Linked DNA regions of Pelodiscus sinensis. The protein of the gene in region 1 interacts with the protein of each later gene in a pairwise test. Links are inferred from orthologs where the notes say so. Each region holds a gene or a part of one and is shown on either strand. Other genes may lie near its edges. The genes, in order: TMEM79, PLP2, surfactant protein C-like and RPRM.

Evidence for each region.
Region 2: the proteins of TMEM79 (region 1) and PLP2 interact in binary tests that used the Homo sapiens proteins (3 or more experiments, as listed by UniProt). The two-hybrid records come from large-scale screens. The link is inferred for Pelodiscus sinensis from reciprocal best matches to the Homo sapiens genes TMEM79 and PLP2.
Region 3: the proteins of TMEM79 (region 1) and surfactant protein C-like interact in binary tests that used the Homo sapiens proteins (3 or more experiments, as listed by UniProt). The two-hybrid records come from large-scale screens. The link is inferred for Pelodiscus sinensis from reciprocal best matches to the Homo sapiens genes TMEM79 and SFTPC.
Region 4: the proteins of TMEM79 (region 1) and RPRM interact in binary tests that used the Homo sapiens proteins (3 or more experiments, as listed by UniProt). The two-hybrid records come from large-scale screens. The link is inferred for Pelodiscus sinensis from reciprocal best matches to the Homo sapiens genes TMEM79 and RPRM.

Annotation. Positions count from the first base shown.
Region 1 is NC_134734.1:16,208,317-16,216,663, reverse strand, and holds the start of TMEM79 (transmembrane protein 79), read left to right. Parts: upstream 1-5,204; 5' UTR 5,205-5,354; intron 5,355-8,347.
Region 2 is NW_027465877.1:87,036-94,254, forward strand, and holds the start of PLP2 (proteolipid protein 2), read right to left. Parts: upstream 3,311-7,219; 5' UTR 3,234-3,310; coding exon 3,147-3,233; intron 1-3,146. UniProt on the Homo sapiens protein: May play a role in cell differentiation in the intestinal epithelium.
Region 3 is NC_134738.1:11,604,141-11,611,385, forward strand, and holds the start of surfactant protein C-like, read right to left. Parts: upstream 3,020-7,245; 5' UTR 2,882-3,019; coding exon 2,699-2,881; intron 2,497-2,698; coding exon 2,350-2,496; intron 1,173-2,349; coding exon 1,032-1,172; intron 504-1,031; coding exon 393-503; intron 1-392. Other genes in the region: LGI3 (leucine-rich repeat LGI family member 3), read left to right, coding at 5,180-5,391. UniProt on the Homo sapiens protein: Pulmonary surfactant associated proteins promote alveolar stability by lowering the surface tension at the air-liquid interface in the peripheral air spaces.
Region 4 is NC_134717.1:29,121,268-29,128,198, forward strand, and holds RPRM (protein reprimo), read right to left. Parts: upstream 1,997-6,931; 5' UTR 1,620-1,996; coding exon 1,290-1,619; 3' UTR 674-1,289; downstream 1-673. UniProt on the Homo sapiens protein: May be involved in the regulation of p53-dependent G2 arrest of the cell cycle. Seems to induce cell cycle arrest by inhibiting CDK1 activity and nuclear translocation of the CDC2 cyclin B1 complex.

The DNA.
Region 1 (8,347 bases):
CGCTTTCTGCAGCTCCCATTGGCCGGGAGTGGCAATCCATGGCCAGCCAATGGGAGCTGTGATTGCCTATAGCAGGTAAACAAATCGTCTCACAGCTAGTGGCTTGCCCTTACAAGCCACAACACAGAGTTTGAAATCCCCTAATCTAGATATTTGGCTATTTTTACAACACACTATGTAAAAAGCACTAATGAATGCTGTACAAATTATAATGTCACGCAGACAATGACTTGTTTATACTACTCTACATATTCTTCACTGAAATAGGGAGGGATAGCTCAGTGGTTTGAGTATTGGCCTCTGAAACCAAAGGTTGTAAATTCAATCCTTGAGGTGACTATTTAGGAATCTGGGGCAACTCTGTCAGGGATGGTACTTGGCCCTGCCGTGCATGTAGGGGACTGGACTTGATGACGTCTCTAGGTCCCTTCTGGCTTTATAAGATAGGTATATCTCCATATAATTTACATTCCAACTGATGGATGATAAATATTATAATTAGATGGTAAAAAGGAAAAAATCAGATTTTTTTCAGTAACCATGCATGGTGACACTTAAATGTTCATGTCTAATTTTGTAAGCAAGTAGTTTTTAAGCAAGCTGAAACTTGGGGGTACATTGATGAATCAAACTCCTGAAAGGGATATAGTAATCTGGGAAGGTTTAGACTGTACTCCCTTTGGAGCAGGGACTATCCCTTACTACGTGTGTGCACGCAGCTTAGCACAACAGGGTCCTGATTTCAGTGGAGGTCCCCAGAGTAACTATAATCTACTATATATTTGAGAGAGATTGTACATCTGTCCATCCATCTGTCTGTGAGTCCATTTGAAGACCTCCTCCTAAACGGTAAGAGCTAGGACCAACAAATTTGGTAAGCACCTTCCTCTGATCATAACTTAAAGCAAGATCAGGGTTTGATTTTGCCAGGACACTGGGATGTGCCTGGAATGCAATTGCTCATGAAATGGAAATCGCCATTTTCGCGATCGGGGCTTTTTTGCTCAAAACAAATCTGAGCTGTCTACACTGGCCCTTTTGCGCAAAAGCTTTGCGCAAAAGAACTTTTGCCCGAATGGGAGCAGCCTAGTATTTCCGCAGGAAGCACTGATTTCAGACAGTAGGAAGTCAGTGTTCTTGCAGAAATTCAAGCGGCCAGTGTAGACAGCTGGCAAGTTTTTCCTTCGGAGGAAAACCAAAAAGATTAGGGGGCTACAGCACATGACCTATGAGGAGAGACTGATGGATTTGGGTTTGTTTAGAGTGCAGAAGACTTACAATTTACAGTGGGGGAGCTCTCGGTTGGATATTAGGAAAAACTATTTCACTAGGAGGGTGGTGAAGTACTGGAATGAGTTACCTAGGGAGGGGGTGGAATCTCCATCCCTAGAGGTTTTTAAGTCTCGGCTTGGCAAAGCCCTGGCTGGGATGATTGAGTTGGGATTGGTCCTGGCTTGGGCAGAGGGCTGGACTTGATGACCTCCTGAGGTGTCTTTCAGCTCTAGGATTCTATGTGCTTCTCACCTGACCCCAAGCTGCTGTACTGAGAGAGGACTGGGATTGTCCTCTCTCCTGAGTGAAGACTGCATGCTGAACCCCTCATCCCCCACCCCAGAGCTTTAAATGAAGAAAAGAGTTAAGGACTCGAGCAACGCCAGGTAGATCTTCTAGTTCATAATGTAATCAGTCCCTAGGAAATCCACTTTGTATTGTAAGCCACACAAGCCTTCTAAAGTTCAGGGTAGATCAGTGCTAGGAGATGGGACCCAAGGGAGCAGAATTCAAACATATGTTTAAAATATGTTAACAGGCTGAATCAATGGGCATTCCACGTCCTAAGTAAAGTTCAGTTATCCACCCATTGGGCAGTGCTGTGATGGGATGGAGTGAAAGAAGCTAAATTTGGAATTTCTTTTCTGGAGTATTTAATTGCATACATTAATTTTGATCATTAGATCCTAAACGTAATCTGATGATGGGTTTTGGGGGGTGGCTAGGATAAACAGTAGCCACGTTAGGTCTATTCCCCCATTTCATTTCACTAAATTGCTCCACATCAAAACAAACCTTGGTGTGCTTGCTTGGCGAAGTGGCTGTGGATGTGTATTATCTGCTTCTCTCTGCCGCCAAGATCCTTGTGAGTTGTTCCAACTGAACAGAAATATTGAGAGCCCCTGGCTGGCTTCCTACGCTACGCAGATTAAGCACCCAAACTACTGTCCAATCCAGGGGTTGGTACATAGCGCAAACTAAATATTGATCTAAGATTCTGACACTGAAGTCAGCATTTATCCTGATGTCACATGTGCCTACATGCACACAGAGTTTATATTACACAACACACACCACACTTCTATATGCATACAGGCAGATCCACACGCGACAGCTCTAATGCCTGTAGCTATCACATTCACACATTTTGCTTTCAGCCTATACGGATACACACAACATACGACACACTTTTATCCACATAGAAAAACCCCCACACAGAAACCACATTTACACACCTATGCCTATTACATACACAACATATATACTTATATGTTCCCTATCCTTACACATATATGCACCAATACACACAGACACCACGTGGCACACACACACACTGCAAATGCACCAAACAGATAATACACACACAACGCATGTATATGCACACACACATCAAAGACACATGTGCAAACAATCCAGTCACACATACCCATGAACAGGAAAACACAACACACAAACCTGAATGCATAAGACAACACAACTATACACCACACTGACATCCCTTCACAACATGAGTATACGTAAGCATGTTAAATAATAAATAAATAATAATAATATATACTTTTATAAAAGGAGAAGCATCCGTCATACTCTCTGTCACAGAGAACATTTGAGAAGACTTGACAAGTTTCATGGGGAAGGCAGGACCCTAGCCAAAACTCCACCCCCTCTGCTGAGGCCCCGCCCCCACCATGGACAGGGGAACATAAGAACATGAGAACGGCTGTACTCAGTCAGACCAAAGGTCCATCTAGCCCAGTATCCTGTCTGCCGACAGTGGCCAGCACCAGGTGCCCCAGAGAGGGTGGACCGAAAACAATGATCAAGCAATTTGTCTCCTGCCATCCCTCTCCAGCCTCTGACAAACAGAGGCCAAGGACACCATTTTATCCCCTGGCTAATAGCCTTTTATGGACCTAACTTCCAAGAAATTATCCAGCTTCTCTTTAAACTCTATTATAGTCCTAGCCTTCACAGCCTCCTCTGGCAAGGAGTTCCACAGGTTGACTACACGCTGTGTGAAGAAGAACTTTCTTTTATTAGTTTTAAACCTGCTCCCCATTAATTTCATTTGGTGTCCTCTAGTTCTTCTATTTAGGGAACTAATAAATAACTTTTCTTTATCGGCCCTCTCCACACCACTCATGATTTTATAGACCTCTATCATATCCCCTCTCAGTCTCCTCTTTTCTAAACTGAAAAGTCCCAGTCTCTTTAACCTCTCCTCATATGGGACCGGTTCCAAACCCCTAATCATTTTAGTTGCCCTTTTCTGAACCCTTTCCAAAGCCAAAATACCTTTTTTGAGGTGAGGAGACCACATCTGTACACAGTATTCAAGATGTGGGCATACCATAGTTTTATACAGGGGCAGTAAGATATTCTGGGTCTTATTTTCTATCCCTTTCTTAATAATTCCTAGCATCCTACTTGCCTTTTTGACCACCACTGCACACTGTGTGGAAGTTTTCAGAGAACTGTCCACAATAACTCCAAGATCTCTTTCCTGATTTGTCATAGCCAAATTAGTCCCCACATACTGTACATATAGTTGGGGTTATTTTTCCCGATGTGCATTACTTTACACTTATCCACATTAAATTTCATTTGCCATTTTGTTGCCCAATCACTCAGTTTGGTGAGATCTTCTTGGAGTCCCTCACAGTCTGCTTCTGTCTTGACTATACTAAACAGTTTGGTATCATCTGCAAACTTTACTACCTCACTGCTTACCCCTTTCTCCAGGTCATTTATGAATAAGTTGAAAAGGATTGGTCCCAGGACTGACCCTTGGGGGACACCACTAGTTACCCCTCTCCAATCTGAAAATTTACCATTTATTCCTACCCTTTGTTTCCTGTCTTTTAACCAGTTCTCAATCAAGAAAGGACCTTCCCTCTTATCCCATGGCCATGTAATTTACACAAGAGCCTTTGGTGAGGGACCTTGTCAAAGGCTTTCTGAAAATCTAAGTATACTATACCTACCAGATCCCCCTTGTCCGCATGTTTGTCAACCCCTTCAAAGAACTGTAATAGAGTAGTAAGTCAGGATTTCCCTTTACAGAAACCATGTTGACTTTTGTCCAACAAATTATGTTCTTCTACATGCTTCACAATTTTATTCTTTACTATTGTTTCGACTAATTTGCCCGGTTCTGACGTTAGACTTACCGGTCTGTAATTGCCAGGATCGCCTCTAGAGCCCTTTTTAAATATTGGTGTCACATTGGCTACCTTCCAGTCATTAGGTATGGAAACCGATGTAAGGGATAGGTTACAAACCACAGATAACAGCTCAGCAATTTCCCATTTGAGTTCTTTTAGAACCCTTGGATGAATGCCATCCGGTCCCGGAGATTTGTTAACATTAAGTGTTTCTATTAAGTTTTTCTCTTCCCGGGAGAAGGAGGAGCAGCGCACAGAGCGCACACAGGCCCCCCACCACCACGGGGAGGGGAAGAGTGCAAGCACGTGCCCTAGCATCCCAGGAGCAGTGGGGAGGGAAGAGGCTGCACAGCCCCATCTATCCCCGTCCCCGGGAGCAGCAGGAAGGGAGGAGGCAACGTGGCTCCAGCATCCCCGGCCCTGGAGCAGTGGGAAAGGAGGGGGCCGCATTGCCCAAGCCAGATCAAGCCTCCCCACCCCCATGAACAGCGGGGGAGGGGGAAGGCCACGTGTATGTCTACCGTCGCAACGGGACGGGTAATAAAATAATAATAATAATAATACACTACTACTGCATGACTCAGACACGTATTACACAAACAAGCCTGCACAAGACATGGCTGCAGCACAGAGACATGCATACACAACACACAGGCACCACACAAACATGCACCCACCCCACATGCACAACACATGCCCACAACCTGTGGGAACAGCCTTTTCTGCCGACGGATTCAGCAGGTTGGGTGAGGCAAATCTGCCTCTGCCCCTTTAATTGTAGCCACACCTTGGCTGGCTAAACAGGTTTGAAGTCCAGGAAAAGGAAAGAAGCCTCAAACAGCGATCAAACCCCAGGACAGCCATCCGCAAAACAGCTCCGTTTCCACATGGCCCGGCTCAGCCCAGCCTGCTCTCCAAGTAAGCAGCCAAGCAGGGAAACCAGCTCTCTGCTTTGCTATGCTCATTTTCTCTTGCAGTCTGGTGGAGTGGAAGGGTTGTTCTGAAGAGGGGTACAGGGAGTTCTCTGGGGGTGGCGGGGTGTATGTGTGTGTGAGTGAGAGAGAGAAAGAGAGAGAGAGTGTCAGACTACTGCTCGGTGCCTCGGTTTCCCCATCTGCAATGTGGGGACAGTGCGCCTGCCCTCTTTCGTACGGAGATCTCTGAATGAAATGTGCTATGGAAGAAGCTAGGGACTATTCCTGGGTGTGCAAGATACAAGGCTGTCCCTACTGATAGGCAAAACACGCACCACAAAATTTGGGCCCCCAGTTTCATGGTGTCCTCTGCAGCCGCATGCTGTGTATGGGCTCCAGCCACCTCCAGCCCCAACCCCCAGCGGCAGCAAGCAAGGCTCAGCACCCAGGCCCCACTCACCAGGCGGCAGCAAGCAGCTCTCACGGGCTGGGGGACTCGGAGCAGGGGGCAGCCGCACAGTGGGCGGCTGGAGAGACGAGGCGCTTCCCCCGTGAACGTGCTGCTTCTCTTTGGCCAAATGCGCGTCCACCCGCTGCTCCTCTGGAGTCTCCTGGCCTGCGCCTCCCTCCCGGCCCTGCTCCCGCTTGTCAGCTCCACCATCACTACAGTAAATGGCGTCCGGTCCGGGAGAGGTGGCAACTCCTTTCCCCTCCCAGGAGGGGTACCAGTACTGGGATGCATCGAGCACCAGTACGGACAGCCCTGGCAAGAAACGTGTCAATACTTTACTTGTGGCTTCTTTGACACCCTCTCCTTCCACCGCTAACGCTGTGGCAGAAGGCATCGCAAGTGGCTCTTAATCTCCCCCGTATTGAGCCCCACATGGACACGCTCCTATGTCTCTTGAAAAGCAGCAGGGCTAGATCCTCCGCGGGGGTAGCTCCCAGACACCGGCTGGGAATCTGGCTCCCCAGGGATCCCTGACGGGTGCACAGAGTTCAACATTGGGGTGAATAAACTAGCTCTCCTCCTTGGCAGATCTCAGCCAATCCAGGAGGGGCTGCCAACATTTCCCGGCTTTGCCCCCATGCGTAACACGACAGGGGCCGTGTCGCCTCCCAGTGCCTATTCTCTGCCAGCCTGGGGGACATCATTTCAAGAAAGATGTGGAGAAATTGGAAAGGGTACAGAGAAGAGCGACAAGAATGATTAAAGGTCTAGAGAACATGACCTATGAAGCCAGGCTTCATGAACTGGGCTTGTTTAGTTTGGAAAAAAGAAGATTAAGGGGGGACATGATAGCGGTTTTCAAATATCTAAAAGGGTGTCACAAGGAGGAAGGAGAAAATTTGTTCCTCTTGGTTTCTGAGGACAGGACAAGGAGTAATGGGCTTAAAGTGCAGCAGGGGAGGTTTAGATTGGACATTAGGAAAAAATTCCTAACTGTCAGGGTGGTCAAACACTGGAATAAATTGCCAAGGGAGGTGGTGGAATCTCCCTCTCTGGAGATATTTAAGAACAGGTTAGATAGACATCTGTCAGGGATGGTGTAGACGGAGCTTGGTCCTGCCTTGAGGGCGGGGGGCTGGACTCGATGACCTCTCGAGGTCCCTTCCAGTCCTATGATTCTATGATTGTCTCCTCTCCTATGGGCTAGCCTACTTCAATCTCCTTTCAGTTGCTGGGATTGGTGTGCGGGTGGTATCGGTGGCCCGTGAGATACAGGTCAGACGAGAAGATCTGGTAGGGGTCCCTTCTGGCCTGCACCTCTCTGACTCAGTGGTATTTTAATTATTGGTCTGCTGCCTGCAGTTGAGAGGGGCCTGCCTCCCAGCTCTTGCAAATCAGCATTCAAGCCACTCCCTCTAAGGCTGGAGAGATTTGCACGGTGTGTGTGCAGCTCAGGGACGCACTAAACATTTTTGCTCCTCCTCAGTTTAATAAATGTCCCTCCAGGTAAGCTCATGGCTATCGGCAAGTATTTACCTGCCTGATGAAGCAAAGGGCCCTGTTAAACTGGATGGGCTTTGCCAGAACTTCTGAAAATCAAGCCCTTCTCTTTTAACTACCATCCAGGTTCCAGAGCCCCAAAATTTGCATCTCTATTCCCAACATTCAGGGATCTTTATGTTCAACCAATAAGGGGCCAGAGCATAAATGCAGATTCCAATTCAGAAGTGTTTTGGATCCAAGATTTAGGTTCCAAGAAGGGATGTTAAAGACTAGTCGACTAATCCACTAGCCAATAAGCATTTGCTTATCGGATAGTCTTTTGACTAGTCGACTAATTGATTTCTCTGTCCCCCTTGCTGCTTCTATGAGATAGAGGCAGAAAAGCAGAGGGGAGGAAGGGGTACTTCAAAGTGGCAAGTGTTTCACCCCAAGGCAGTGTTTCAAAGGAGCAGCAGCTGCACAGATGATCTGTGGATCAGCTGTGCGGCGGCGGCCACTTTAAAATGCCATTTCTGGCATTTCAAAGGGGCAGCTGTTGTGGAGCCCAGGTCCAGCTGGGCACTCCCAGCTGACTCCAGGCTCCCCGCTGCATTTCCCCACAACCCGGGATTAGCTGGGGAGATCCCGGGTTCTGGAGAAATTCCGTGCAGAGCCCGGGATCAGCTGGACAGTCCCCAGTTGACCCTGGGTTCCACTGCCCCTTTGAAATGCAGGGAGGTGGCATTTCAAAGGGGCAGTGGAGCCCAGGGTTAACTGGGGACTCCCCAGCTGATCCCAGGCTCCGCGCAGCACTTACGCAGAACCTTGCACTTCCCACGTCCCCCGCTGACCCCGGGATCCATGGCTTTGAAATACACAAGAGCCCTCGCAGGCCGCAGGGGACCCTTGTGCATTTCAAAGCAGGCACCCGCGTACAGCCCGGAGTCAGCAGTACTTCCTGCTGGCCCCAGGCTGTACGTAGAGTTCCACTTTCCTCCTTTGAAATGTACAAGAGCCCCAGTGGGGGCTCTTGTACATTTCAAAGGAGGAATGCAGAAGTGCCT
Region 2 (7,219 bases), on another chromosome or scaffold:
GAGGGGAGTGGGGGCCGGTGGTTAGAGTGGGGGGAGGGGAGTGGGAGCCCGGGTCCCGCGTGGGCCGGGTGGGGCATTCAGGGCGCCTGGGGAATGTTCCAGCCTGTCGCGTCTGGAGGCCCAAAATCCCAGCCCACGCGGGCTGACAAAGGGGCGAGTGTTAGGAGGGGAGAGGTGGGGCTGGGCACCATGGCAACCATTACATGACACCCGCTCCCCCTGCCAAATAGTGTCAGGTCTGGAGGCTGCTACAGGCGGATGGGACAGGAGGGCCTTAAAGGGACGGTGTGCAGAACAGGCAGAGAGGACGGGGTCTTAAAGGGGCAGTACCTACAGCAGGCACCTGAGCTGTTCTTAAAAATTGCAGCACCTGCTACAGGTGGGGCGCATGGGGCTATTAAAGGGGCAGTGTGCCCCCTACGGAAGGAGTGGCGTGGTCTGTGAAAGGGGCAGTGCCCGCTACAGGTGGAGCAGAGGAGGGCTGCAAAAGGGGTCCTCTACAGGCAGAGCGGGGGGCTGTGAAAGGGGTGGTGTCCGCTACAGGCAGAGCAGGGTGCAGTGTCCGCTACAGGTGGAGCAGAGGGGGAGGTGAAAGGGGCTGTGCCTGCTACAGGCGGAGTAGAGGGGAGCTGTGAAAAGGGCAGTGCTCACTACAGGCGGAGCAGAGGGAACAGTGCCCGCTACAGGCGGAGTGGGGGGGTGGTGGTGGAGCAGAGGGGGATTACAGCGAGTACTTAAAGAGCCAGCACCCTGCCGCAAGGAGCTTGGGCCGCTAGCAGCAGAGGGGTGGGGAAGCGGGACGTGAGGAGACGGGTCTGGGCAGGGCACAGAACTGGGCGTGTGTTCCCTGCCCAGTCACACCTCGGCCCTGCCGGGGCCTGTTGCTTCTGCCCTGTAAACATCTTGTCTCCTTCCTGGGAGAACGTGCCTGAAAGGAGCCCTGCCTTTCTAAGAAGGCAAGCCAGGGCAGTGGGGTCTGGTGGTTAGAGCGAGGGGGCCTGGGAGCCAGGTCTAGGGGTGCCAGGAGCTGGCTGGAAGCCAGGATGCCTGGGCTCACTTTTCCCTGTAGGAGAGCGGGGTGGGGGAGCTGGGGAGTTAATCATTTCTTTGGGGTGAGGCACAGGGAAAGGCCAGATGGGGGGGCCTATAACCCCCCTGTCTCCCCAAATAGAGAGATCCCAGGGTTGCCCGCACACAGTCCCCCCACCAAGGACACCCCCCATTGTGCCCTCCCCTCCAAACATGGGTACACGCTGCACTGCTCCTTACACAACACACACACACCAGGCTCTGCCCCAAGTCTGCACGCTCCGGCACATGGCTAGATACACCTTGCGGCGCCCTGCCAGCTACACGGTAAATGCCCTGCTGCACAGCTACACACCGGCACAGCCGGAGACTCCCCCCAAGGTACAGTGTGTGTGTGCGCGCAATACCCCTTCCAGATGCGCGTGCACACACACATGTACGTGCGCGTGACAGGCCCTGCCCCAAGTCTGCACACACCAGCACATGGCTACATACACCCTCTGGCACCCTGCCAGCCACATGGTAAACGCCCTGCCGCACAGCTACACACCAGCACAGCCTGTGACTCCCACCAAGTTACACACACACACACAGTGTAACACCCCTCCCAGACACACACACACACAGTGTAACACCCCTCCCGCGCGCGCACACACGCACACACAGTGTAACACCCCTCCCCCCACACACACAGTGTAACACCCCTCCCGCGCACACACACACACACAGTGTAACACCCTCCCGCGCACGCACACACACAGTGTAACACCCCTCCTGCACACACACACACAGAGTAACACCCATCCCAGAGACACACACACAGCGTAACAGCCCTCCCGCACGCGCACGCGCGCACACACACACACACAGTGTAACACCCCTCCCGCGCGCACACACACACACAGTGTAACATCCCTCCCGCACACACACACACACAGTGTAACACCCCTCCTGCGCGTGCACACACACACACAGAGTGTAACACCCCTCTCAGACACACACACACACACAGTGTAACACCCCTCTCAGAGACACACACACACACAGTGTAACACCCCTCCCGCACACACACACACACACACACACACTGTAACCCCTCCCGCGCACACACACAGTGTAACACCCCTCCCGCACACACACACACACACACACACAGTGTAACACCCCTCCCGCGCGCGCGCACACACACACACACAGTGTAACACCCCTCCCGCGCGCGCGCACACACACACACACAGTGTAACACCCCTCCCGCGCGCACACACACAGTGTAACACCCCTCCCGCACACGCGCACACACAGTGTAACACCCCTCCCGCACACACACACACACACACAGTGTAACACCCCTCCCGCACACGCGCACACACAGTGTAACACCCCTCCCGCACACGCGCACACACACACAGTGTAACACCCCTCCCGCGCGCACACACACAGTGTAACACCCCTCCCGCACACACACAGTGTAACACCCCTCCCGCACACGCGCACACACAGTGTAACACCCCTCCTGCACACACACACACAGTGTAACACCCCTCCCGCACACACACACACACACACACACACACAGTGTAACACCCCTCCCGCACACGCGCACACACAGTGTAACACCCCTCCCGCACACACACACACACACACACACACACACACACAGTGTAACACCCCTCCCGCACACACACACACACACAGTGTAACACCCCTCCCGCGCGCGCACACACAGTGTAACACCCCTCCCAGAGCCGCACACACACACACACACCGTGTAACACCCCTCCCAGAGCCACACACACCCCGCTCCGCAGCACACGCGGAAGCCGCACCGGCTCAGCTGCGCGCACCCCAGCGCAGCCCCCCGCGGACACGCCGGGCAGCCGCACCCAGGAACATGGCCCCGGCGCGGGAAGCTCGGGGTGTCGAAATAACAGCGCGGGGAAGGGCTCGGGAGGGGCCCAGCCCGCTGCTCTCACCGCTAGACCCCGCTGCCCGCCCCGAGCCGGGAGGGCGCGGCATCCCCCGCCCCCCATCACACTGGCCGCCTGGGTCCCTCCCGCGGGCAGCCCGGGCGCCCCCCGCCGCGGCCGGCCACGTGGGCGCCCCGGGCCCCCACTCACGATCTCCAGCGCCAGGATGATGCCCTTGGGGGAGCGCAGGAAGGCGCCGCAGCGCCCCACGCAGCCCTGCCCGCCCGACGGCTCCATGACCCGCAGAGCCCCTGGGCTCCGGCTGGCAAGGGACTGGCGCCGGCAGCCGACGGGGGTGGGGCTGGGCGCGGCCCGGGCGGGCCCCCGCCATGGCCAAGAAAGGCTCTGGGCTCCGCAGCGGGGCGGGCGCTCGAGCCCGGTTAAGGTGGCGCGGGAGGGCGCTGGAGCCCGCTTAAGGTGGCTCCGCTGGGCGCTGGAGCCGGGCTGAGCGGGCGGTGGAGCGCAGGGGAGAAGTCCAGCAGCGTCGGATGCCGGAGCCTAATCTCAGAACCGGGCAAATGAGTTGAAACTAGAGCAAAGGGTATGAAGATAACGCGGCCTTTCTCAGACCGGGGCCCGACCCCCGGGGGCCCGAGCCACTCAGAGGGGGGGCGCCGTATCACAAGTCTGAGAACCCCTGACAATGTTGGGGGAGTCAGCAGGGTGTCTGGGAAGGGAAATCCTGCCTCACTAATCACTGGAGTTCTCTGAGGGGGTCAACAACCATAGAATCCTAGGGCTGGAAGGGACCTCGAGAGGTCATCGAGTCCAGCCCCCCGCCCTCAAGGCAGGACCAAGCTCCGTCTACACCATCCCTGACAGATGTCTATCTAACCTGTTCTTAAATATCTCCAGAGAGGGAGATTCCACCACCTCCCTTGGCAATTTATTCCAATATTTGACCACCCTGACAGTTAGGAATTTTTTCCTAATGTCCAATCTAAACCTCCCCTGCTGCACTTGAAGCCCATTACTCCTTGTCCTGTCCTCAGAAACCAAGAGGAACAAATTTTCTCCTTCCTCCTTGTGACACCCTTTTAGATATTTGAAAACCGCTATCATGTCCCCCCTTAATCTTTTTTTTTCCAAACTAAACAAGCCCAGTTCATGAAGCCTGGCTTCATAGCTCATGTTCTCTAAACCTTTAATCATTCTTGTCGCTCTTCTCTGTACCCTTTCCAATTTCTCCACATCTTTCTTGAAATGTGGCGCCCAGAACTGGACACAGTACTCCAGCTGAGGCCTAACTAGTGCAGAGTAGAGCGGCAGAATGACTTCACGAGTTTTGCTTACAACACACCTGTTGATACAACCTAGAATCATATTTGCTTTTTTTGCAACAGCATCACACTGTTGACTCATATTCAACTTGTGGTCCACTATGACCCCTAGATCCCTTTCCGCCATGCTCCTTCCTAGACAGTCGCTTCCCATCTTGTATGTATGGAACTGATTGTTCCTTCCTAAGTGGAGCACTTTGCATTTCTCTTTATTAAACCTCATCCTGTTTACCTCCGACCATTTCTCTAACTTGCTAAGGTCATTTTGAATTATGTCCCTATCCTCCAAAGAAGTCGCAACCCCACCCAGTTTGGTATCATCCCCCATGTGGCCAAGGGGGATCCAGTGGATGCAGTGCACTTATATTTCCAGAAAGCCTTTGACAAGGTCCCTCGCCAAAGGTTCTTAAGTAACGTCAGTTGTCATGGGATCAGAGGGAAGGTCCTTTCATGGATTGGCAACTGGTTAAAAGACAGGAAACAAAGGGGAGGAATAAATGGTCAGTTTTAGTGGAGAGAGGTAACAAGTGGGGTCCCCCAAGGGTCTGTCCTGGGACCCGTCCTGTCCAACTTATTTATAAATGATGCAGAGAAAGGGGTAAACAGCGAGGTGGCCACATTTGCAGATGACACCAAACTGCTCAAGACCGTTAAGACCAAAGCAGAGTGGGAAGAGCTTCCAAGAGATCTCACCAAACTAGGTGACTGGGCAACCAAATGGCAAATAAAATGTAATGCTGGTAAATGCAAAGTGATGGAAAAAATAACCCCGGCTACATGCACAACAGGGACTAATCTGGCCACAACTACTCAAGCGCGAGATTTTGGGGTCAGGTGGATAGTTCTCTGCGAACATCCCCTCCGTGTGCAGCGGCCGTCACAAAGCAAAGCGAGTGCTGAGATTCATTCAAAAAGGGATCGAGAATAAGACAGAGAATATCTTATTGCCTCTCTAAGTCCACGGGACGCCCACAGCTCGAATGCTGCGTCCAGGTGTGGTCGCCCCTTCTCAGAAAAGGTCTCTTGGCATTGGAAAAGGTTCAGAAAAGGGCGACACAAATGCTGAGGGGTTTGGAGCGGGCCCCGTATGAGAAGAGATTAAAAAGACGGGGACTTCTCAGCTTGGAAAAGGAGACTGACAGGGATCTGATCGAAGTCTATAAATCATGACAGGCATGGAGAGACTAAGGAAAGTTATTTACTTGTTCCCATAACACAAGAACTAGGGGTTTAAAACAAACCAAAGGAAGTTTTTCTTCATGTTGTGCACAGTTGACCTGTGGAACTCCTCGCCAGAGGATGTTGTGAAGGCCGGGACTGTAACAGGGTTCAAGAAAGAACAAGATGAATCCATGGAGGCTAGGTCCATCGACGGCCGTTAGCCAGGCTGGGTAGGGAGGGTATCCCTGGCCTCTGTGTGTCAGAGGCTGGGAATGGGCATCGGGGAGGGTAATGGGCTGGTTCTCTGGTGTGATCCCTCCCTCTGGGTTACCTGGCATTGGCCATTGTGGGCAGGCCGGACGCTGGGTGGGATGGGCCTTGGGTCTGATCCAGCCTGGCTGTTCTAGAGGCGAAGGCTGGACAGTGGTTCTCAACCAGTCCTGGAGGTACCTCAGCTCCCCGGGAGGCGAGACTGGCCTGGCAACCGGCTCCAGAAAAAGCACAAGCTCGGTGAATGCAAACTCACCTTGCAAACAGACGGTGCCTGGCTAGGGCGGCCCCGCACAGGCCGGCGTCTGTTCCCAGGGGAGCTGCCCGCCACACACGGGAACACCAGCCCCTCGCTGGGCCGGGACGCTGCTGCGTCTGCCAGGTGTGCTGAGCAGGTCGATGTTCAGTGAGGGGAGACCCACCGTCCACCCCCCTGCCCCTGACTCTTCTATCCACCCATCCATCCACATCTCCCCCCTTATCGTCCCCCCGGCTGCCTCGCCCGCCCCATGCTCGGGCCGGCCCCCGCCTGGCCCCCCTGTCCAGGTCAGGCGCTGCAGGCAGGGAGGTGGCCGACTGGGCACGGAGCCAGCCTCTGACTCAACCTAGCCAGTGTTTGCAGAGCCTTGGCAGGAAGTGGTGAGGCTGGGCTGGGCTGTGCCAGATGCAGGAGCAAACAGCCGCTGGAACAGCTGGCACCCGGGGCAGCCAAGCCAGAGGCCCCAAGGCCTGCAAGGGGGCCCAGGCCCGAATCTGAGCTGAGCGCCTGCTGTTAATCCGGGACCGTCCCCTCGATCCATCGTCCTGACCCCTGCCTTTTCCGCTCCACCCCATCACGCTTCTCCCTTCCCCTTCTACTGCCTGCCGGGGGGGGGGGGGGGGGAGGCAAACAGCAGCCTGCAACCTGGAGGGGGCTGAGAGCTTCAGTGGCTACCCTGTGTCTGAGCTGCCTCCCCTACTGCTCTCCGGCTCCCCCCAGGGCAGGTGTCTTGGCCTCGCTCCCCTCCCAGGGCCGGGGAGAGAACCCAGGAGCCCTGGCTCCCAGCAGTCTCTGCTCTAACCACTCCCTGCCCTGGTCTGCTCTTTCTTGCCCAGCAATACCAGTAGCCCTGGGGCAGCCTATTAAAGCAATGACCAAGTTGCCAGCAGTGGCTGCCGGGGTGTCTCTGCTGGGGGGGGGGAGTTCAAGGGCAGAGCCAGCGGCGGGACGCCCCGCCCACCAGCCCCGCTCCTCACCAGCTCACCCTGTGCCTCTCCTTTTCTCTCCACCTGTGGAAAACATTTTGTTCCGTGCGCCGCGGGGTCTGCAGATGGGCACCGCCCATGCAACCGCAGGCTGCCAGCTGGGGGGGGCTCTGCTAGCCAGCGGGGGCGGCATTGGAGCTGAGTGGCCGCACGCACCCAGCTGACAGGCAGCCCTGCCCCACGGTGGGCCCTACACCCTGGCATGGGGGGCTGAAGGCACCGCTCAGTGCGGGGGAGGGAGGCAGGGCAGGAAGGGGGCTGGAATTC
Region 3 (7,245 bases), on another chromosome or scaffold:
TTAGAAAAAATGAGAGGGAATAATGCTCATTAGCAACACTCCCCTTGCTCAAACATTAGATGAGCCTTCCTTGCCAATACATTGATCCATCTGGCACAGGAGAGAGGCAGCATCGCCTAGCAGTGAAAGCAGGGAGGCGAGGGGTAGACAGCGGCCCCCGCGGGCTCCCGGCCGCAGCCACTGCAGGCAATGCCAGCTCTGCGCCGGGAAATGCTCCCCGGTTGCTTCCTTCCTGGGTTTGTCTCTAGGACTGATTCCCGGGGGAGCTCAGCCCGCCGGTGCGACGGTCTCCCAGGGACTCTGAGCGGCCTCCGCCGGGTTTTCATCTCTCACAAACGTCTCACGGCCCTTCCCCGCGCTCTCCTCTGCCCCCTTTGGCCCCGGCCGCTCACCTGGCGGTGCTGAAAGGCTTTGGCAATGGCATCCAGGCCTGGAATGTTCTCCGGGTCCATCCGGCGGAGGTAGCAGGCCCGGCCCGGCCAGGATCGGTAGCCAATCAGCAGCTGTTTGCAGGCGGAGCAGAGGGTGACGTTAAACCCTGGCAGATCCCCGGGAGCCAAATCACCCTGCAAACCGGCCCCTTCTGTTTCCCCCACTGTGACCCTCTCCGTCCCCTCTGCTCAGCCCGGCAGCCTCCTGCCCCCTCCGCTGGAGAAGGGCCGGGCCGATGTGTCCCTGTCCGCAGCGTGGGGGGCTGGGTCGCTGGAAACGGGATCCAAGCCTCCTTGGAGATTGCATTTGCAAGACCAAAACCCACGGTGGGACTCGGAACACCCCAAACCTGGGGCACGCGCAGATCTTGGGGTTTACGCTGCTCGTCTCTGGGGTGCAGCACTGGGACCTCTGGGTACCTCTGGGACGGCGATGTGGGCCCGGCGGAAAGTAACCCCGGCTCCTCTACCGCTCATGCGAGGTCGCCTCCAGCGATTCCAGCCTGCGGCCAGCCGGGTCCCAGCCTGCCTGAGGTCTGAGCCGAGCCGGGGACGCTCCCCGGAGCCCTCACCCAGCTTTGCCCCGTTGGCCCTGCTTACGTGGCGGTAGTCGTAGACCACGGTGGCTGACGAGTTGATCCCTGCCGTGACGTAGAAAGTGCCGGTCTTTTCTTTCCCGCGTATGGAGAGCTGCTGCGGGGACCCTTCCCCGTCCAGGCTCTGGATAGTCATTCGCAACACCTAGGGGACAAGGACACCCCCGGGGTGAGGTGTGTGCGGCGGGGAGCCAGAGCCAGAGCCGTTCATTGCTTATACCATAGGCGCCAGATGAAGACCCAGCTGGGGAAGGCAAGCCCCAGCCCCGCCCTTTCTTCCTGAGGCCCCGCCCCTCCTGCCTGAGGCCCCGCCCCTTCAGCATCCCCCCCCCCCAATCCCTCCCACCCCCAGCCCGATCTAAGGTTGCCAGGTGTCTGGTTTTCACCTGGACAGTTCGGTATTTTGGCCTTCTGTCTGGTAAAAAAAAAACCAGAGAATACTGGACATGTAAAGGCGTTTGTGAGGGCAGGGGAGCGAGAAGGGCAGGAATTTAAAGCTGCAGTGACCTTTTTTTTTTTTTTGCTTAACAACTTTGGTCTCCCCCTTTTTTTTTCCTCAGAAGAATTTTTTCCCAGTGGTTGGTTGTTGTTTTTTTTGGCGGAGGGGAGGGTTTTGATATTTTTTGTTAAACCATCTGGCAAACCTAGCCCGATCCTTCCTGGCCACATGGAGGGCCGGGGATGCCGTGCTACCGCCCAGCGCTCCCAGGCAGCGGGGGAGCCGAGCTGCCCCAGCCCTCCTGGGTCGCCGGGGCACTGGGGCAGCTTTGGGAAGGCAGGGCCTGCCTGAGGACGCGCCTCTGAAGATGCGCCGTTTCCCTTCGCCCCTGCTGAGTCCATGCCGGCAAAGAGACGGGAGGTGTCTGAGGCCCGGCTGGACAAAGCCCCGGTTGGGATGGTTGAATCGGGGTTAGTCCTGCTTTGGGCAGGGGGTGAGGTGACCTCCTGAGGTTCCAAGGAACCCCAGAAATTTTGCTGAGGTCGGTCATTGCTTTGACCACAGACCCTAGTCCTCCAACGGCCCAGCCTCCTCTGGGGTTCCCTCTGCTTGTCCACACCCCCACCGGCTCCCACGGAGGCGCTGGAGCAGCCTCTTCTCCCGGCTGCTCCGGCGTCTTAGCTCGGGCGCATTTCCCCCGCTGCCTGAGCTCCAGGCGTGGCTGCACCAGCCCCATGCGGTGGCCGCCCGCTGTGCCCGGCGGCATCTGCTTCTGGCGCATTGGCGCATTGCCCCTCCGCACCAGGCCTGGCTCCGAGCAGCCCCCCCTCCCCCTGCGCGGGCGCCTGGCGGGAGGGGACCCGTGTTTTAACGCCCCACTTACAGTCTCCGTGTGCTTCTCGGACAAACGCAGCCCCATGAGGAGGAAGCCCAGCACCACCACCACGATGACCACGACCACCACCACCACGATCAAGAGTTTCTTGAGGCGAGAAGCGAAGCCGGGGACCCTCGGGGTGGCGGTGTAGTCCTGTGGGAACGGAGAAAAACGCTGACAGCAAGCAGAACCGGGGGAGGGGGGAGGGGTGTATGCTGGAGAGAAAGGACCCCCCTCCCCAGTCGTTATTACTTATATTAACGTAGCATTTTGGAGCCCCGGTTGTGGCCCTGCACCCCGTTGCGCTAGGTGCTGTACAAACGCAAAACCGCCCAGCCTGTGTTCATTGCCGTACCGGCGGGGCCTCTATCAGCGCCTCCTTGGTGCTCACATCCATCTTGTTCTGTGGATCCCGCCGTGCTCCGTCGTGGCTGGAGAAGGGCTTATATAAGGGGCTTGAGCTAGTGGAGGAGCAGAGGGCAGGCGGGCGGAGGAGCGGTGGGACACTGGCGTTCCCCAGGCCCTCCCGGCTCCACATCAAGTGTTTAATTCCCTTCGGATTTGTTTGTGAACCTGTTTCCCGGGGCCCTTCAGAGGCAGGTCTCCGATAAGCCCCGGGCCCGTGGCCGGTGAGAGGCTCCAAGGACTCTTGTCTCCGGGCACGTGGGCCTTTGAGCGCCCGAGAGCCGCAACCGCAGGGGTTGCGAGGCCAGAGTCCCCCCGGCTCCGAGGGGCTGGCGGGAGTCTCCGGCCCGCCAATGTGGCCAGAGCCAGGCTTGGCTCGGAGCCCCGCGCCTCTGAGCCCCTCTGGCACCGGAAGGTGCTTCAGAGGTTCAAAGCAAGAGCCGCACATCAAAGGCCTTTGGCGAGAGCCCTCGCCGGGAGCGCCTGGTCCTCGCGGGGGGGGGGGGGGGGCGCTGGGGCACTTGGACTGGCTCCACGGACTCTGCCGGGCCTCGGGGTCCTGCCTCCACCAGCCCCACGGGCTCTGCCGGGCCTCGGAGTCCTGCCTGCCCGAGCCCCACGGGCTCTGCCGGGCCTCGGGGTCCTGCCTCCACCAGCCCCATGGGCTCTGCCGGGCCTCGGAGTCCTGCCTGCCCGAGCCCCACGGGCTCTGCCGGGCCTCGGGGTCCTGCCTCCACCAGCCCCATGGGCTCTGCCGGGCCTCGGAGTCCTGCCTGCCCGAGCCCCACGGGCTCTGTCGGGCCTCGGAGTCCTGCCTCCCCGAGCCCCACGGGCTCTGCCGGGCCTCGGGGTCCTGCCTCCCCGAGCCCCACGGGCTCTGCCGGGCCTCGGGGTCCTGCCTCCACCAGCCCCACGGGCTCTGCCGGGCCTCGGGGTCCTGCCTCCACCAGCCCCACGGGCTTTGTCGGGCCTCGGGGTCCCACTGCCCACTGGCCCCACCAGCTCCGGGGTCCCGCCGTCGGCCCAGGGCTCTGCAGCTGCCCCCAGCCTGGGGCGTGAGCGTCGCCAGCTCTCCTGGACCGGACGCCGTTTGCAGCGGTGGAATCCGGTCCGGGAGAGTTGGCAGCCGGTTCTCAGCCGGGGTGGTGGGGGCGGGGTGCAGCTCAGCACCCCCACCCCAAAAGGAGTTCCAGCCCCACTTCCTCCCCTGCCCTGCCTCTGCCCGGCCCCCCAGCCCCTTGTTTGTGTGTTGTCAGTGCCCTGGCCGGGGCGCCAGCTGCAGAGCTGAGACTGCCTCTGTGGAGCCAGGAGACGGCCGTGCCTGGGACCGGAGCCACTGCTGGCTGGTGCCGCTCGCCGCTCGTCATGAATTATCCAGGAGGCTCCGCAAGGACGTGTGGGACGGGGGGGGGGGGGGGGGGCAGGGGAGGTGGCTGCCAGGGCGATGGGGGAGGGGATCGGCGGTAGGTCGAATGCTGCGGGGCAGAGGTTGAAGGAAATGGGCAGGCAGGGAGACCCTGCTTCACGGGGAGGATCCTGCTGCAGGTGCAGGTCTCAGTGTGCGTGGAGGGGGGGCGTGATGGGGAGGGTGAGTTGGCGAGGGCCAGAAGCCAGCGGACGAGGCTGTGTGGTAACTGCCCTACCCTGCACTCCGGATACGCACAAGAGCACTCAGTGCACACTCGTGCACGTGCACACGTGTTCACGCACACAAGTGCTCCGGCCTCCGTGCGTGTGTCCACACACGCACCAACAGAACATGCACACAAGCACCCACAGAATGTGCAAACTCAGGCTCGTGCAAGCACACACAAACGCACAGAAGCTCGCAGTCCCATCCAGACACAATCCGGGCGTGCGCCATCAGGTAGACCCCCGCACCTGCGAAGGAACCACACCATCCTATATTTGTGTACACACCACATTGCCACGAACACGCTACAAACATTCACCACAGCCTTCTTGCACGTGTCTTTTCACTTTTCGCACGCACAGAGAGACGCACGTATGCGTTCATACATGCGCGCAGAATTCACACCTGGGACACACACCCACACACTGGCACGTGCAGCACGTGCACCCCTGCAAGCGCGGGAGTGCAGGCAGCTCACACTCGTGCACACCCTAGTGTGCACAATGGGCTCACGCCCTCCCCGTGCACCGACGAGATCCCCAGCAGCGACAGAACTTAGACGAATCACTCGGCAGCAAAACACTCCTGCTCCACCCCCCCTCTGGCAGCTGAGTGTGGTGCTCTGCAGAGCAGCAAGATGGACTGTAGCATCCTCGCTCCCCGGATTGCTCCGGCTCTTGGCTGCAGCTCCCGGCCTTGACAGCCAGGCCAGGGGCGCTGGGAGGGGTCCAGGGCAGAACTGAAGCAACGGTCCGGGGGGGTTCTTCTCCTGGAGGTGGGGGAGGCCAGGTCAGGGCGATGGCTGAGCTGCAGCCAGGCAAAGTGATGCAGCGGGGGCGAGTCCTTGCCTTCCTCCTGCTGAGCCTGGCCTACCTCTGGCTGCCGGCGGGCTCCAAGCGAGCCCCCAAGCTGCCCCTGTGTCCCCCCAGCTGCTCCTGCACCCGGGACACTGCCTTCTGCATCGACGCCAAGGCGGTGCCCAGGAACCTGCCCCCGGACGTCATCTCCCTGTGAGTAGCGGCCGAGCCGCCGGGAGCGGGGCAAGGGGGGATCGCGGGTGGGATACGGGGGGTTAGGGGAGCCTCTGCTGGGGTGAGGGAGAAAGCGGGGGGGGTATCTGCGGGCTGAGGGTCCTTGATGCTCTTGGGGGTTCCCCAAAAGGCAGCACATTCTCTGGGGGTGCAAGAGGATGGGGTGGTTGTGGGTTGGCTAACACAGACGGGGGGATTCCAGGGGGTATCTATGTGATGTGTGTTCAGTAATAACCCGCTGGGTGCATGCAGGTTGTCGGGACTATCCTGGAGCTGCTAGTTTGCATGAGATCACCGTGCCTGCACGGCCTTGTTGGGGGTCTCTGCCCCTCGGGGTGGGGGTCGTTTTCTTTTAGAGCGTGGCCTGTGGCAGTGTGTGTGGCGGTGCACGTCTGGCTGCGTGAGCACGGGGACGGGGGTTGTATGCCCGCACATCGTGTGCACCCTGGGAGTCTTTGATCATCCGGGACGTGCACAGAGGTGCAATGTGTGCGTTGTGCAAACGAATTCAGTGTATACACAAATGGAAGTGTGTGTATGCTGGTGCAAGAGCAGTGTGTGTGTGCGTGCTGGTGCAAGGGCAGTAAGTGGGTGTGTGTGCATGCTAGTGAAAGGGCAGTAAGCATGTGTGTGCATGCTGGTGCAAGAGCAGTAAGCGTGTGCGTGTTCTGGTGCAAGAGCAGTAAGTGTGTGTATGCATGCTGGTGCAAGAGCAGTAAGCGTGTGCGTGTTCTGGTGCAAGAGCAGTAAGTGTGTGTATGCATGCTGGTGCAAGGGCAGTAAGCGTGTGCGTGTTCTGGTGCAAGAGCAGTAAGTGTGTGTATGCATGCTGGTGCAAGGGCAGTAAGCGTGTGCGTGTTCTGGTGCAAGGGCAGTAAGCATGTGCGTGTGTGTAGGGAGAGGGAGACACAAACACTTTTCTCCCTGTGTTGCCACCTCCTGGGCAGCTCCCCAGCACAGCCCTAGGCAGCCCTTTCCTTCCACTGTGTTCATCACAGCTGATTCTCACTAAGCACTAGGTCCTGACTGGGCCCTTTGCCGTGGCATCGGGCCACCCCCCAGAGACCTCGCAGCGCCCCTCCCTGCGCCCGTGGGTCTCCCCTTCCCTGGCCGGGGTGGAACCCGGGCAGAACGAGATGCAGTCTCCTCTGTTCTGCGCCCGTCCCTGCTGGATCTCTGCAGGGCCCTGCTGGGACAGACCTTTTTTTCCATCGCCAGGGTGGGGAAGGGCGGCTTGTGCTCGGGGTGTGTTCGATGTGTGTGGGGCGGTGCCCCTATTTGTCTGGGGTGTGCATCTGCTGCATGGCACGTGCAGGTGCGTTGTGTGTGTGTGTGCATCTCTGTGTGTGTGTGCATGAGTGTGCGTCTCTGTGTGTGCATCTGTGTGTGTGGGCACGCGTGTGTGAGTGAGTGTGTACGTGTGAGTGTGCATCTGTGTGTGTTGGTGTGAGTATGTGTGTGTGTGCGTGCATGTATGAGAGTGTGTGTGAGTGTGCATGTGCGTGTGAGTGTTCATCTGTGTTTGTGTGTGTGAATGTGTGTGAGTGTGCATCTGTGTGTGAGTGTGAGTGTGTGTGTGAGAGTGTGAGCACAGGACATGCATCAGGCCTGCCCCCGCCCCCTGCCAAGCTCCCATCCTGACCTCGAATAGAGATGGGCTGGGCCCAGCTGCAAACCCCATTTCTGCTCCCCCCCCCTTGTCCCTGGCTTGACCCGTTCAAGTCCTAGGGCAGGGGGGGGGGGCAGGGGGATGTGTGTGCACATAGGGGCCCCGGAAGCAGCTCCCCTGGACACCTGCTGGCCCCCTTCTTGTCTGCAGGGGCCCCCCCTTCC
Region 4 (6,931 bases), on another chromosome or scaffold:
ATTCCAGGCTGTTCGTTCAAAGTGCTGGTCTTACTTTTAGGCCTAGCCCCCATCGCCTTTGTGTGTCACTATTGCTCAAAAGGATGTTTTAAAAGGCAAAATAAAACGGCAGATTCCTGAGTTGCAAAGACGAGGTATTGACTGTGTTGTGTATTTCAGGCTCAATCGACTTGCCGCGGACATTGATTCAATCGATACTTTTTTCATCAAAGTTCCCTTTCTAAAGCTAATTACAGGAGCGATGACTCCTAGCAGAGCACAACTCCCCACTTTTTACTAGCTGCGTAACATGCTTTTCATGGTGGATCCCACCCTGTGACAGACGCGTAGCCTTCCCCCCAGCTCCGTCCTAACACGGGAGGACGCGCTTTAAAACGACCCTTGGGTGAAACTGACCTCCTGTAGCGGCACTCTGCTAAGCCCCGCGAGCTCCTAAACTGGGGGGGAGCAGACTTGCGAGGCAAAGCGCGTTGCCGTTCGATTCCCGCAGCGTTACGATAGTCGCGGTTCTTGGGTTGTGCCCTGGGCTGATCCCCTTTGCCCTCTCCCGAGCCTCGACCCGTGTTTTCTCTAGCCCCCCCCCGGGCAGAGCGGAGGCGGTGCGCCTGCAGACCCGAGAGCGAACGGGGTGGCCGGCGGGGGAAGCGCACAAGGACCCCAAGAGCGCAGGGTCTAAAAGTTTAAGGTGTATTTATTAAAGCCAATGAAACCAGGAAAAGAACAACAACAACCGGCCGAGCGCGTGTGGCGGGGCAGCCCGGGCCGTGGCGAGCGAGGGCTCAGCGGAGCGGCTCGCAGGCGCAGGAGGGACCGGTTCAAACTTGGCGAGCCGAGAGCGCTCCCGCAGAAAGACAACTTCGCCCATCGCCGGGGCTGGGCCAGAGGCCACGCGCTGTACCCCCCGCGTCCCGCCGAGCCCAGGCGCCGATCTCCAGTCCCCGCTGAGCTCCCGCAGCCCCTCGGAAGCAAATCTCGTTTACCACAGGAATTAACACTCGCCATGCAGCAGCCCCCCACCCACCCGGCGCGCCAGCGCCGCTATGTACAAGCCCCTGCAGGAGGCGCCGCTCCGGCCGTAACACGCAGGGGCTGCCCGGCCGGGGCTGTCCTCGCCCCCAGCCACCCATCCTCGGGCGCCGCCAGCCCCGCGCAGCAGGCGCGGGAGATCCTGGACCGACTCCCGGCAGCCGGGAAAGAGCCCCCCGGCGGCAGGTCCCGGGGCGGGGCTGGCCTCCTCGCACAAAAGGCCACGGGGGCCGGCGCGGCGGTGCCACCTGTTCGCTCGCCAGTCAGTAGGGCCCCACCACCACCGCCTCCGCCTCCTTGGACGGCCGCCGGTCCTTCACCAAGAAGTTGATCATCCCCTCGGACTTGATGAGCAGGTTGCAGCCCAGGAAGAAGATGCCGAAGACCACGGTGAGCGAGAGCACGCACATGACCGCGATCTGCACCACCCGCATGATGTAGAGGCTCCGCTCGTCCGGGCCGCTCCCTGCCAAGCCGTTGTCCGTCACCACCGAGGCCGGGGTGCAGCAGTTCAGCAGCCTCCCCAGGGAGTCACTGCTGTTGGCGGCGAAGAGCCCCGCCGCCCCGGTCTGATTGCCCAGCGAGGCGTCCATGGCCAGCGGCGGGCACGGGCGGGCGCGGAGCGGAACAGGTGGCCCCGGAGCGCAGCCCCGGGCGCCTCATGCAGCAGCGGCCGCGGAGGAGGGAGGGAGGGAGCGGCGGGGTGCGGGGCCAGGCAGCGGCCGCTCCGGGCGAGTTCTGCGCTCGCCCGCCTCCTCCGGCTCTGCTGGGGCTGCGAGAACTTCTGCGCCTGGAAGGGCAGCCACTCGCCGGGGGAGGCGTTCGCTGGCTCTGCGGCCTCCAGCTCCGAGGGGAGAGCGCCCCTGCCCGGCTCCGGCTGCCGCTGCAGGCAGGAAAGGCAGGAGCCTGCTGCTGGAGTCACAGCCCCACTCGCCTTGGCATGGGAGGACTTGGAGATTTGGCTGTAAAGGGCTGGAGGGCTCCCACCTGGGGCTGGGGACGGGGAGGTGGCAGCCCAGAGGGAAGGACTTGGCTGCTGCAGGGACTTCTCCACAGCTGGGTAGAGGGGACAGATTCCACCCACCCCCTGCAGCTGCCTGGCACAAAGCCACTGCAAAAGCTGGCACCTGTCTCCTGCTGGGCCCAGCTAACTTTGGGCTGCATCACACCTGGCATTCCCACCCCTCCCTTAGCTTTGCTGTCTAGATGTAGTGCCTCTGCAACTGGCAGCAGTGATACCTTGTTTGTATTTGTAGGTGCAGTTTCCCAGGGGGTGGCCAACATTTGTCAGGACAGGGTAAAATCGAACTGCTGGATCCAACTTTTCTTGGTGCAGTTTCATGAGGACACTGGGTCCAGGATTCATAGTGTGCAGCAAGAGTATGTGAACATCTTCTCTATTTAGACATTGGAATTTGGCTGATTCACATACACACATACAAAACAACACACAAAAGTCCATTTAAACCAAACTTGGCAGGATCTAGCTTTTTGCAGCACCTTTGTTCTGGGATTCACTTATGGTAGTATAGTTAGTTTCTTTTGGTGTAAGATGATCAGCTACATTTGCTCTTTATGTATGCAAGAGATTTGCAAGGGGTGGGACCAAAAATTGGCTAGTTCATCAAGATACGCAAGTCAGATCAGTGGGGTTTCTGTGCTGTTATGATCAGATGAATCATTATCTGGATTATATCGACACAATAGGAGTGTCTCCAGCAGGGGTGGGCAATAATTTTTGATGGGGGGGCACTCCAAGATTTTGGAAAGTGGTTGAGGGTCACACTCTTCCATGGTATTAATGGAGGAGGTGTGTGGTCTGGGATGGAGGTTGAGTGCAGAAGGGAGCTTGGGGTAAGGGATTGGGGTGCAGGAGGGAGGATGGGATCAGGGAGGGAGTTTCGGTGGAGGGAGTTGTGATCTAGGGCAGGTGACTGGGGTACAGGGGTTTGGATTGTAACCTAGGCAGGAGACTGGGGTGCCAGATCTGGGTTGGGGTATAGGTTCAGGAGGGTTTGGGTATGTTAAGACAGAGGGTTGGGGAAGAGAGCGGCTGGGGTGCCAGAGGCAGGCTATGTCCAGGAGACTTACCAGCCAGAAGCCCAACCAGCCTGCCTCCTTGCAGAGCTAAATGCTTGCAGAGTTTAAAAAGTTTCTCAGCCAGCCTGCCTGCCCCGCCCCCTGCTTTGTGTGCTTCCTGTTATTCAAACAGGCAGCTCCCATTGACAAGTTTCGGTCCAGAAGCAGGCCGCTGGGATGGGAGTTACACCTGAAGCCTTCTCCCCTCCCCTCCAAGTTCAGTTTTTAAAAAGAAAGTGCCCCGCAGCTGCTTTTCTGAGCAGTGTGTGAGGCTGCGGGGCAAACAGGGGAGCCTCTCTAGGGCTCCCCGCTGTGTCTACAGGCCAGATCCAGTGGCTTGGTGGGTCAGATTTGACCCGCGGGCTGTATTTTGCCCAGGCCTGGTTTAGATGTAAAATCAGCCAGATGTTTTAACCAGACCCATTTATTAGCTGAAAATGCAGGTGCCATATGATTACTTGTGTCCGCAATAGCCACGTGTCTCCCTTTGCTCCATTCAGCTGCTTCTAAACAGCAAAGTTCTAAGGTCCCAAACATGCAAGTATCCATAGTTAGAAATCTTCAGAAATTTTTTTGTTGCACAAAAGTATAAGCACATTGCAGGTTGCTGGCAGCTGATTCTCCTAAAATCCTAAAGAGTAGCTAAATAGTTTAACAGGATGCTATGCATCATCACTTACGGTGCCATTAGAGTTGTAGACCTAATTCTGTATCCTTCTTCCCTGCTTTCTGGAGAACTGTGTATTTGGGAGTAAGAGCTGAAGCATTTCAAATTGAATTCCACATGGTTTTGTCTCAAAAATTGACCTTATGTCAGTCTGAATGGCTAAATTGAACAGTTTATCTTGTATGTCTTACTTTCCCAGTAATGGGGAGGGGCAGAGGTGGAGGTTGGTAAGGACTTTCATCACCAAGCACACAGATACAAACAGAATCTATTTGTCATGAAAAACAAACAAACCAGCAAGTGTCGAATGACCAGGCTGAAATTAATAGCTTTCTGTCTTGTACAGCATGAGCTAACCTCTAGGCTCTTTGTAAATCTTCCATGACTCGAGGAGGAGAGAATCTGTTGTGTGTGAAGCCTGTCTTCTGGATTACTGATGGTGTTTTCCAGCTCTGGAAATAAGATAAGGTTGGAGAAGGGCAATTCCTGTTGTCACCAATGCATCCAGGATTTTTGTTGCCTGTTGCCTAACATATAGCGAGAATGTAGGGTCAACAAATGGACCCATGACACCCAAGACAGCAGAAATGTGTCCATTGCTAGAGCCTGTTGGTGGGTCTCCTTGCAGCCTTACAATTCATCCAGCTGGCTGAAAAGCTGGGTTGGAAGAATTTCACTCCTATGGGGCCCAAACACCCCCATAGGAGGTTTTTGCATATTGTCTTGCTGTTGATCCAGTACCAAATCCCTGATTTGTTGTGAGATGCTATAATTGTCATCCCTGCAATCTCCTGCTGGAATTGAAATTTAATTTTCTGAAACACCTACAAGAATCTGCTTGGTAGGGCTGTCCAGCACAGAGAGCAAAGACACATTGTGAAATTGATAGATAGAATGATTGATATGTTTGTGCAAAAGGTTACCCAATCAAGTGGCCTGTCTTTGTCAAATTGTGAATAAATCTACAGAGTTCCAGGCAAGTGATCCAGAGGGATGACTCTGACCCTCCTTGTGGCATTTCCTGCAGTGCAATCCCTAGCTGATGAGCTAACATCAAACTGCCATTAAGTGCTGAAAGAACCCAAATATACCATAATCCCTTTCCTCATTCCAGGCCTGCCCTGACTCTTCTTCTAAGCAAAGTTTGTTGGTGTCTCAAAGTCTTTCCTGAGACAAAGATTTCTTCTGTTTCCTGCACTCTTGCTGCAGACTTACCTGCATGTAGAAATTTCTTGGCAAGCCAAAAGGGACATAGCCAATCCTTTCCCTGTGCCCCCTTCAGAGCTATCTGTTATGAAGTCATAAATTGGATGAGCTCTGATGTCATTCTCACATTATCAGACAGGATAGGAAGAGGGCATTTTGTCTTCCCTGATGTATACAAACCACCATATTAATTCTAATCAGTGATGAAGAGCTGGTAGTTATTTTATCCAGTGGATAGTGGAAGACACACAAAATCTTTAGAAAACCCCATATGATTCTTATCTCAACAACTGATATTGCCAGGGCTCTAGACAAAGTTTTGGAGCACCCCTTAATGACAAGATTGTTTTATGGACAACCCTGCATCCTGGGCATAATTCTCTGTGGGTACGTCTACACTGTGGTGCTATTTCAGGATACTTCTGGCATCCTGAAATAGCTACTCCGCATCTTTTAAGCAAGCCCATTATTTTGAAATATAATGGTCTCGCTATTCCAACAAACCTTGTTCCACAAGGACGTTTCAGAATAGTGGTTAATTCTGAAATTTGGCATTGTGTAGATTTACAAAATAAGCTATTTTGAAATGAACTCAAAATAAGCTATGCAATTAGTGTAGCTCAAGTTGCATAGCTTATTTCGAGATTCTGGTGCAGTGTAGATGAACTCTGTGAGTGCACCATCTCCACTTCCAGTCAGGAAGGTACCACATGTCCACAGCAGTTAGAGAAATGGCTTATTTGGAAAGTAATTAATGTCCTTTTAGCTTTTTAAAAAAGGTTAGTATCTGGGGGTATGTCTACACTACAAAGTTAGTTCGAACTAACTTTCATAGGCGCTACACTAGTGCTCCGTTAGTTCGAATTTAATTCGAACTAACGGAGCGCTTAGTTCGAACTAGGAAAACCTTATTTTACGAGGATTAAGCCTAGTTCGAACTAGCTAGTTCAAATTAAGGGGTGTGTAGCCCCTTAATTCGAACTAGTGGGAGGCTAGCCCTCCCCAGCTTGCCCTGGTGGCCACTCTGGCCAACACCAGGGAAACTCTTCTGCCCCCCTCCCGGCCCCGGATCCCTTAAAGGGGCACGGGCTGGCTACGGTGCCCGTGCCAGGTGCAAGCCTGCCAGCACCCAGCCAGCAGACCCTGCACCTGGCACGGCTCGAGCCAGCCACCCGATGCCCCCCAGCCCTCCCCCTCTTCCCGGGACCAGGCTGGTGGCTCCCAGGAGCTTGCCTGGGACCGCAAGAGGCGGGCACCCCCCTGGGCTAGTGCAGACATCGTGGACCTCGTCCATGATCTCCGCACTAGGCACAGGAAAGTGGCCATCTAGGGCAGGAGAGCTGCCAGCCTGGCCACCCAGGAGCAGGTGTGCAAGAGAATCAAGGGGGTCTAGTGAGACCCCCGACCCTGAGCCCTGAGCTTACAATGGCCGTCCTGGGTCAGACCAAAGGTCCATCTAGCCCAGTAGCCTGTCTGCCGACAGCGGCCAACCCTAGGGACCCTGGAGAGGATGGACTGAAGACAGTGACCAAGCAATTTGCCTCGTGCCATCCCTCTCCAGCCTTCCACAAGCCTTGGGCAGGGACACCACTCCTACCCCCTGGCTAATACCACTCCATGGACCCAGCCTCCATGACTTGATCTCACGTCCCTTTAAACTCTGTTCTAGTTGTAGCCTTCACAGCCTCCTGCAGCAAGGAGTTCCACAGGTTGACTCTTTGCTTTGTGAAGAACAACTTTCTGTTACTAGTTTGAAGCCTGCTACCCATTCCTTTCCTTTGGTGTCCTCTAGTCCTTCTTTATGGGAACTAATGAAGAACTTTTCTGTATGCATCCTCTCCACCCCACTCATGCTTTTAGAGACCTCTATCCTGTCCCCCCTCCGTCTCCTCTTTTCTAAGCTGAAAAGTCCCAGTCTCTTTAGCCTCTCTTCATATGGGACCTGTTCCCAAC